Linked DNA regions of Xenopus tropicalis. The protein of the gene in region 2 purifies or fractionates together with the protein of the main gene of each other region. This does not show direct contact. Links are inferred from orthologs where the notes say so. Each region holds a gene or a part of one and is shown on either strand. Other genes may lie near its edges.

Region 1 (4,822 bases), on a different chromosome or scaffold from region 2:
TTGTGTCTTCATAGTAAACATTTTGTATAAGTGACAAACACGGGCATATGACCACATTTTCACAATCAAGAGATTTAAAGACAACAATTACAATCACTCAAATTTATGCATTTTACTCAACACGGGTTATACATATTTTGCAAGGTTTTACCTAGAAGTACAATCGTTTTTTTTTCTTTAACGTTTCACTACATTAAAAAAAAAAATAAAATAGGAAGAAAAATAAAATAAAATAAGGTAACCGACCGGTTAGTGAGCACATACATCGAAATCTACACAACACAAATTAAAGGCAGTATTCAGTTTCCCCCTAGAACTTGTATTTTTTCTAGTATTTTTTTTTTCCCTTTCTGAATGGACAGTGCTGAAAACTGATGGAATTTAATATTATTATTATTCTCTTTTTGTTATGTATCAGTAGGCTGACTGCATGATCTACAACCCAATCTTTGGTCTAAAAGTAAACAAAAAACCCAGCTCCTTTATTTTTTTTTGTGTCATGATGAAAGGATACATATTTAATGGGCAAAAAATAGATATATTTATTGAAATGACAGTTAAATACAAATTAGCATTTGCAAGTTGCTGAGAGTAGATAGTTTTAGTATTGGTTGCTGATCATTAAGGAATATTTTTGCCGAGCTAGATCCAGTAATAATACTGCAGACATGGGACTGGGGGGGCTGCTAACAGAAGTAGAATGCAGAGCAGTCACTAGTTTAGAGTCACATAAGACAAGGGTCAGCAGTCTGACCCACTTGCTTGGACACCACACCTTATCTCAGCAATACAGAAGCCTAGAGACTCAACAAACGTACAGAAAATAAGGGGGACTTCATAAAAAATACCTGGACTTGTCTTTTTATGGATTTTTTTTTTTGTTTTTTTGTTCGCTTGCTTTTTTTTTTTTTTTCCTTTCACTTCTCATGTACAATGGAAATGTGTGTAAAACGTTCACTTACAGTCTTGTCCCAGGGTGATGTTAATGTATCAAAGAGTTGGACGAAGAGCCCTGATTTTGATGTGTGAAATAATCTGAGAGTCCTCCTGAGAGTCCTGTTGTGAAGCTTGGCAAGGCAGGTCTGAGGGACTCACAGGGCAGAGTGGAGGGAGCCTGGGGGGAGGTGGAAGAGGAAGCCGCCCTGGCTGCCATAGAAGTGCTGCTTTGAGAGGTTATAGAGGGGTGAGGTACATGGGGGAAAAAGTAGCCCGTTTGTCCAGCGAGAAGGTTGACAGAGCAAGGGTTAAGGGAGTAGGTGCCCGAGCAAGGCACCGGGAGGCCACATGGCACCGAGGCAGCCAGGGCGGCTGCAGTGAGATGGTGGGTGGCATAAGGGATCTCTCCGTTGACCAGTCTGTCTACGCTCAAGCCATTCGACGTAGAAAAAGAATGGTTGCTCCCCAGTGAGTTCTGAGTCAAGACTGAGCTGTAGGGCATGGGGTGGCTAGGGTAGGCTGAGGTGGTCCCATTGTAGCTGAGGGCGCTGCTGGCCCGGGGGTGGTGCAAGGAAAGGAAAGGGGACATAGGCCAGTACAGGGAGCCGGCTCTATCCATAAATGTCAGCCCGGTGGAGGTGAGCCTGGCTCCCCGCTTGAACGCCAGTTTAGCCCTGGAGGTGGTAGATCTCCTGCGCAGTTTCCCAGTGGTCCCACCAATGAACACATCGTCGCTGCTGGGGTCCAACATCCAGTAGTTGCCCTTGCCGGGGTCATCGTAGTGGCGGGGCACCTTGACGAAGCACTTGTTGAGGCTGAGGTTGTGGCGGATGGAGTTCTGCCAGCCCTGCTTGTTCTCCCGGTAGTAGGGGAAGTTCTTCATGATGAACTCGTAGATGCCATTGAGGGTGAGGCGCTTCTCCGGGCTCTGGCGGATAGCCATCATGATCAGGGCATTGTAGGAAAAGGGGGGCTTCTCGTACTTGCCGTTCTTCTTCTCGCCCCCTTCCTTCCCATTCTCCCCATCTTTGCCGCCGCCACCATCCGCCTTCTTGTCCTCACTCTTCTCCTTGTCCTCCCCGGGCAGCTCGGAGGCAGCCGGGTCTCCCTTACCCGGGGGGAGGCTCTCTGTCTTCACTTCCAGGAGGCTCTTGTCCAGCTCGTCCTCCTCCTGTAGCGGCCGGTGGTGGGGCTGGAGATGGTGCGACTGCTGCGGCAGTTGCAGGTGGTGGTGGTGGTGATGGTGCGGCTGGGGATGGTTGTCATTTTGCACGGCTTCAGGCACTAGGCTGTTGATACTGAACGACGACTTGGGGATCATTTTAACTTCCTTCCTATCCCCCATGTCCAACATATCACAAGGATTGGAGCCGGACACTCGAGTCAAGTCGCAGCAGTAGGAAGCAGCCGCAGCAGCAGCAGCAGCTCTGTCGCACCACCGTCTCCAAACACTTGTAAGTCATGAAGCAAAAAACCAAACGCACATAATATTGGCGTCAATTAAAGGGCTGTAAATACATATACATATAAATATAATCAGGGTGCGAGCCAGGGGAGAGAATGCAGCAAACTATTTCATGTCCCTTCAAAATAAACACAACAAGCGTCCCCTCTGTGCATCTAGAGTAGACAGCTATAGCTACAATTAATTCCAGACCCAGAGACACCAGCCTGGGGAAAAAAGAAGAATTTGCTTTAACCTTTGCATCTTGGAACCAATGGGAGAGCTCAGAGTGCAAGAACGTTCCTTACTCCTCCAGCCAATCACATGGCACATACTTCCAAGGACCCACCCAAAGTTTCTTCCCTCCCTCTTTCTCACTCTCCCTCCCCCCCCAACTCCTTTGCCTTGCGGAGGGATATGGGAGGGAATCTCTTTACCTCTCCTCCCCCCTCTCCTTCTTTCCCTACCAAATATCTGCCATTGCTTTCATCCCACTGTATTGGACCATCTCACTTTTATACGTCAATATTTTCTCTTATTGATTAAAGTTTGTTTATACCTTTTTTTTTCTTTTTAGGGAGAAAATAACCATGGAGGGAAGAAAGTGGAAGAATCAAGGGACTACTTTGCCAGCCTTGGGGGACTGAGGATTTTCTGAGCGATTGTAGCGATTTGATTTACACAATGTAACATTGTGCGCCGAATGTTGAATCGAGATGTTATTTATTTATTTGTTCTAATACGTAACAATGTGTGTAATGAGTCTCTGCTTGGGGGGATTATTTTAGGAGCATGGATCTGTCGGCCCCTGTTTAGTAGGCGCTTGGCTGGGTTCAGGCCACACCAGGGAGGGGGCACTAACGGATAGATGCTATAAGGCAGTAAAATCTGTGCGTTTTGCCTTAATTGCGCAAATGTTACTATCTGAATCAGGAATGCCCCCCTTTTCACTGTTAGATGGGCCAGCTGCACCTTCAGTGCCTTTTCTAACAAGAGGAGGGGGGGCTTGTTTCTTTTGCCTTATTCTGAGTGTTTTTTTCTGATTCCATGCTATGATTAAACTAATTCTGTAGAACGGTTAATATCATCAGGCATTGAAATCAGTGCTGTTTTCCCTCCTAATTGTACAAATACGTTACTTTCCCAACCAGGAATTCCCCTCACCCCCTTTTTTGACTGTCAAATGGGCCAGCTGCACCTTCAGTGGCCTTTCTAGCAATAAGGGAGGGAAGGAGGCTTGATTTCTTTTGCTTTATTTCTTAGTGTTTTCTCAGATTCCGCGCTATGATTATACCAACTCTGCAGAATGGTTAATATTATAAATTCATGAGTCTGAATTTCCAATCTTGCCTTGATTGTGGTGCCACGTATGGAATGATTAATATTATGTATGCATGATACACACCAGTAGCCTTGATTATTTCTATAGGAAAAATCATCTGCAGCAGAATGTGCCACTCATCTGCCTCTCAGGCTTTGTGTGCTATATATATATATGTATAAATACATCTATGTATAGACAGACAGCATAGACCTATATATAATAATATATATTACTATATATATTTAAATATTTCCATGTATAGATAGACGTACATCATAGACAGACAGACAGACAGACAGCAGATAGATAGATAGATAGATAGATAGATAGATAGATAGATAGATAGATGATAGAGCACAGGCCCTATGTATAGATAGAAAGACAGAAGATAGATTGGACAGATAGATAGATGATACATAGATAGATAATTAGATAGATAGATAGATAGATAGATAAATAGATAGATAGATAGATAGATAGATAGATAGATAGATAGATAGATAGATGATAGATATCGCAGTGCTCTGCCCTGTTTGTGTACCCAGCGACTCTTGGTGTTCAGCTGGATATTGTTTGATTCCAAATGAATGACTTTGTGTCCTGACAGTGGGTGATTGCCTTATATTTACACTGTTTATGTTCTACTCCCTGCTAACCCCAAGCTGGCTAGTGTAAATAAACCAATCCATATCTGCTGGGGCATTGCTGGTTGGAGACGATTGTTACTTAGTTGCACCCCAAACATTCAGCTCTGCTGTAGCACCAGTCACTATTTGCCATGTTGTATAATATGTTGGGGGGGGGGAATAAAATAGCAGCCCTATTACTTAGTGATGGCCTTTCACAATCCACTATGTCTGGCCTTAACCCTAAGTGACCCCCTAGGTCTCTACTACTTGGCTGACTTTTCTCAATTCAACGTATTTCAGTTATGTTCTTGACACAATTTTAAGGAAGATCATTACAAATTGGATAGAGAATGAAGCAGAAAGAGAAATATTCACCAGCACTACCCTGTGTTTCTGTTGCAATAATCTGCGCTTCGCATATATATATATATACACACATACACGATATTAGTATGTTTATATTATTTACTGCTTTGTTTCACTATCATC
Region 2 (4,866 bases):
ACAAAACAAATTGTTGGCATGGGGAAACACTGAGCAACTTCGGAAACCTGAAGCGATGCATAGGCCTTTCCACAGGTGATTCCCTTTGTTGCTGATGGAAAGGCATTTCAAAGCAATATAAAAAAAAAAATCTGTAGCTTTTTGCTACTTTTACTGTGTTTATCTCCTGCCTGGTGGGTGAAATCTAGGTTAATTTACAGTGCTTTTACCCTGTGTCTGGAAAGAAAAAAAACTACAAATTTGTTACTACAAATGATAATGCAGTAATGTAGATGCTACTTTTGTGCATTAGTGTTCAATCCATTTGTCACTTGTTTCCATGTGTATAGACATATAGGTCAGCAGGCTACTTAGTGAATAGTAGAAATGCAGCACCAGTGATACTTATTTACATAGGCGAACTGTAAAACTATGAAATTACAAAGGCACACATTTATGAGTGGCTGGCAACCGAAACATGCACTTTATCGCAGATGGATGAAAAATTAAGGAGATAAACTAATTATCAGGTACCAAGAAATCAACAAAAAGAAGAAAATATTTTGAGTGCAAAAGGACATAATTAAAAGATTTTAATTTGGATGTTGAGCAGAATTAAAGAAACCACGCATGTATACATAACATGAACAAGCAGCTCATTATGGCTTGTTACAAAGGCTCATGAAAGAAAAGAAAGAAAAAAAAAAAAAAAAAACAACCCACGGAGTTGCCAGCAAAAGGCCCCTACCAGGTGAAAATGAAGAAATACTAGGTCAGAACTTTAATCACTCAATCCATTCAGTGAAGCGTACCAGATATGTCATTTGCTCTTGGGAGATTCCATTTAACCAAATTATTCTAGATGGAGTCAAGCACCTTCTTTAATTCTCCCTTCAAGGCATAAAATGTTGGGAACAATTAAAGCATACAGGGCTAAAAATATGAGAAATAGGCTTTAATTTTATATATACACAATTAAAGAACCCTGATACTCCCCAAGCTAAGTACCAGCAGATAGTCTGCTTTTAACAGATCTCTCAAGTTAGAATGGCATGATGATCTGACAGGGCTTATGTAAATGGTTCTAGCAATCGAGTAAAAAGAGAAAGCTAAACAAATTGTTAGAAAGGAGGAACAGGACAAACTTCAATTCATCCCATACGCAACTAAAACAGATCTCCAATGATGGCAGCTCATATTTATAACAACATTTACAACTTGCCTAAACCTATCACAGTGTAGTAAAATATGAATAGAACTTCACAACCTTTGCAATGGCAGATAATTACAAATCCTATATACACCATGGGATTTACATTTACATATTGACAGTTAGAAAAAAAAAAAAAAAAAAAGGTCAGTTGGTACTAAAGCCTTTACTGTAGCAAACCAAATATATTTACATTTTTTACAAATGCTTGACCTTAAACCGAAGTACAAAAAAAAAATCACAAAAAAAAAAAAAAAAACACTGTTTTGCGAAGTATAGCAGGATGTCAAATTCATAGCCCTCCAGCTGTCAGGAACATCAATTCGCAGACTAAGAGGGACTTCACTGAGAAATGTAGCTCACAACAGCCATAGGGACAAAAATTTGGCTTACCAGAAGTAAATTGCTAATCTGGAGTTACCCTTACGTTAAGGTTAACACCTGTGTCCGTCACATTAAAAAAAGAACAAAAAAAAGTCAGCAGACTTGTTAAGACATTTCTGATCCACCTCCCTCATATTAGTTTGTTCTAGGCAGTTTATATGTTCAGGAAGTTGTTTGCACTATTTGTGCCAGTAGGAAACAAAAAAAAGTTCATAATCCACAATCAAAGTCACTTCTTTCCTTCTTTCGATTCTAATAATGTGTCTCTTTTCCAAACTAGTAAACATTTTGGCCAGGGAAAATCCATAAGAAAGGTAGTGAAGCTGCCATCACTTTCAGTAGATGACTTCATAGACTGTGGCCTTCTTGTCCCCTGACCCAGTGACAATGTATTTGTCATCGATAGAGATATCGCAGCTCAGTACAGATGAGGATTCTTTGGACTGTGGGAAAGAAGAACACAGAGCTATTATATTGCAGTAGGGATCCTCTGAACTTTAACCTTCAGTTATTTAATGATAACAAGGAATCTCCCAGAGCAGCAATGCAGAATTATTCTGTGTGACTGCTGCAGCAATAATGGACAGAATGCAAAGGGCTACCAGGAATCTATATGTTAGACCACTTTATCCACTTTCTTTTTATTACACAATATGCTGCATTGCTTAAGTGCATGTGAACTTCACTTTTACAATAATAAGGCTTGGCTAGTCTAACCAGGGATCCACCGCGTTGTGGCTCGCAAGTAATAGGTTGTCCCCTGTTACAATAAACTAGCAGCAGACACCAAGCAAGTATACAGTCAGCTAGAGATTGCTTAAAGGACATGTAAAGCCTACATTTGCCTACAATGTATATCAGTTAGGCACGTCTCTCCCACCCAAATGGCATCATTTGTACTGCATATATCCCCTCCGTTTGCTAGCACCATCACATTTCCCTAAAGCAAATAGCAGCTTTCACCCAGTGGCCATTTTTTCTCTGATACATTTAAATCTGCAGACAGCAGATACACACACAGACCATTATTCAGCATACATTTCATCAATAATACAGGCTCACACAGGCAGAACAGTCTTTGATAAAAGTTCTGCTTTGTTTGAGCTGAGCTCAGGAGAGGAGGTTAGGAGAAAAATATTGAAGCAGACAGCTAGAGCTGAGTTTCTATGGGAACCAGCAATGCCATCTCTTCACTAGCTGCTAGACTGGAGGGCGTGTTTATTAATCTGAGCTTAGAACAACTGAGCATGCCCACAAGCCAGAAGTCAAAGCAAATTCCTGAGGGAGGGGGCCGAGTGGGTTACAGGAGGAGAAGGAAATCTAAGTGATTAAGGAGATGTTGCAGCCTTACTATTAACCTCTGGAAACCAGAGTGTCAGGTATTGAAAGATTTCAAAGAGGCTGCTCACTGATTACATTTTTGTGTGTGGGGTTTACATGTCCTTTAAGGCAGCCAAGAGACATTTCTATAACCAAGCAATTTGGTCCTAAATGTGCCTTACAGAGCACAAAATGTTGGAAACCTTTGGCCTAACCTATGTTCTCTATATTAAATGATGCATTATGCCTTAAGCCACACAAGAATGAACACTGAGGCCTGAAAAGTAACTTGGAGCAATCTAATAACATCTTCATAGACTCCTTTCATCATATGGGTCATTAATTACCAAAACAGAAGTTTGTACTATAAAAAAAAGCGGTCATGTAAAAAAGTCACGCTGTAAATATATACACATATCCCCCCCCACACAGATGTTTACAAGAAGCATTCCTTCTATTTAGCTTTATTCTACATTTACGAATCCATTTATAAGTGACATTCATAGAGAAGGCTTATAATTGATTAGCAAGCATAGGGGAAATACCTACCTGGAATATACTGGCTCCATATGGGGTTCGCCAAGCATTAAGAAGATTATCCTTTCCAGTACTTACAAACCATTTGCCTAGACGAATATCGGAACAAAACATTAAAATCATAACAAGCATAAATCATTGCAATAGATTCACATAGCTCTAAAAGGGAATTTTTAGAAAGGATTGTTTTTAAATTAATATATTTGAATGTAATGCTAATATCAGACATTCTTTGGACATATTGTTTCCCTCAGATAGAGAAAAGCATTTTGACTGACACTTTTTAATGCCTGATGACAGCAATAGTCAAAACACACCTAACATTAGCCTAAAAAAATATTTAAATCACTTAGTTAAGGATTATGACTAATTTTCTAATGCAGCTATAATCCTATAAATGAAAGGAAGTACACTAACATTAAATTTTAACCCAATATTTGAATTGTTTTTACGACAGCATCCTATTAAGCATACTGTACAAACACCAACAGTCTGCTGTCTTTCACAATACATACAGTGGCTTGCAAAAGTATTCGGCCCCCTTGAACTTTTCCACATTTTGTCACATTACAGCCACAAACCTGAATCAATTTTATTGGAATTCCACGTGAAAGACCAATACAAAGTGGTGTACACGTGAGAAGTGGAACGAAAATCGTACATGATTCCAAACATTTTTTACAAATAAATAACTGCAAAGTGGGGTGTGCGTAATTATTCAGCCCCCCGAGTCAATACTTTGTAGAACCACCTTTTGCTGCAATTACAGCTGCCAGGCTTTTAGGGTATGTCTCTACCAGCTTTGCACATCTAGAGACTGAAATCCTTGCCCATTCTTCTTTGCAAAACAGCTCCAGCTCAGTCAGATTAGATGGACAGCGTTTGTGAACAGCAGTTTTCAGATCTTGCCACAGATTCTCCATTGGATTTAGATCTGGACTTTGACTGGGCCATTCTAACACATGGATATGTTTTGTTTTAAACCATTCCATTGTTGCCCTGGCTTTATGTTTAGGGTCGTTGTCCTGCTGGAAGGTGAACCTCTGCCCCAGTCTCAAGTCTTTTGCAGACTCCAAGAGGTTTTCTTCCAAGATTGCCCTGTATTTGGCTCCATCCATCTTCCCATCAACTCTGACCAGCTTCCCTGTCCCTGCTGAAGAGAAGCCCCCCCAGAGCATGATGCTGCCACCACCATATTTGACAGTGGGGATGGTGTGTTCAGAGTGATGTGCAGTGTTAGTTTTCCGCCACACATAGCGTTTTGCATTTTGGCCAAAAAGTTCAATTTTGGTCTCATCTGACCAGAGCACCTTCTTCCACATGTTTGCTGTGTCCCCCGCATGGCTTGTGGCAAACTGCAAACGGGACTTCTTATGGTTTTCTGTTAACAATGGCTTTCTTCTTGCCACTCTTCCATAAAGGCCAACTTTGTGCAG

What was found. Proteins that work in one complex are often made in the same cells at the same time.
Region 1: the proteins of tle1 (region 2) and foxg1 purify together in Homo sapiens (affinity purification with western blotting; 3 studies listed by BioGRID and IntAct, with this or other methods). This does not show direct contact. The link is inferred for Xenopus tropicalis from reciprocal best matches to the Homo sapiens genes TLE1 and FOXG1.

What each region holds. Positions count from the first base shown.
Region 1 is NC_030684.2:112,466,786-112,471,607, reverse strand, and holds foxg1 (forkhead box protein G1), read right to left. Parts: upstream 2,542-4,822; 5' UTR 2,282-2,541; coding exon 983-2,281; 3' UTR 870-982; downstream 1-869. UniProt on the Homo sapiens protein: Transcription repression factor which plays an important role in the establishment of the regional subdivision of the developing brain and in the development of the telencephalon.
Region 2 is NC_030677.2:133,428,905-133,433,770, forward strand, and holds the end of tle1 (transducin-like enhancer protein 1), read right to left. Parts: intron 3,520-4,866; coding exon 3,443-3,519; intron 2,017-3,442; coding exon 1,909-2,016; 3' UTR 550-1,908; downstream 1-549. UniProt on the Homo sapiens protein: Transcriptional corepressor that binds to a number of transcription factors. Inhibits NF-kappa-B-regulated gene expression. Inhibits the transcriptional activation mediated by FOXA2, and by CTNNB1 and TCF family members in Wnt signaling.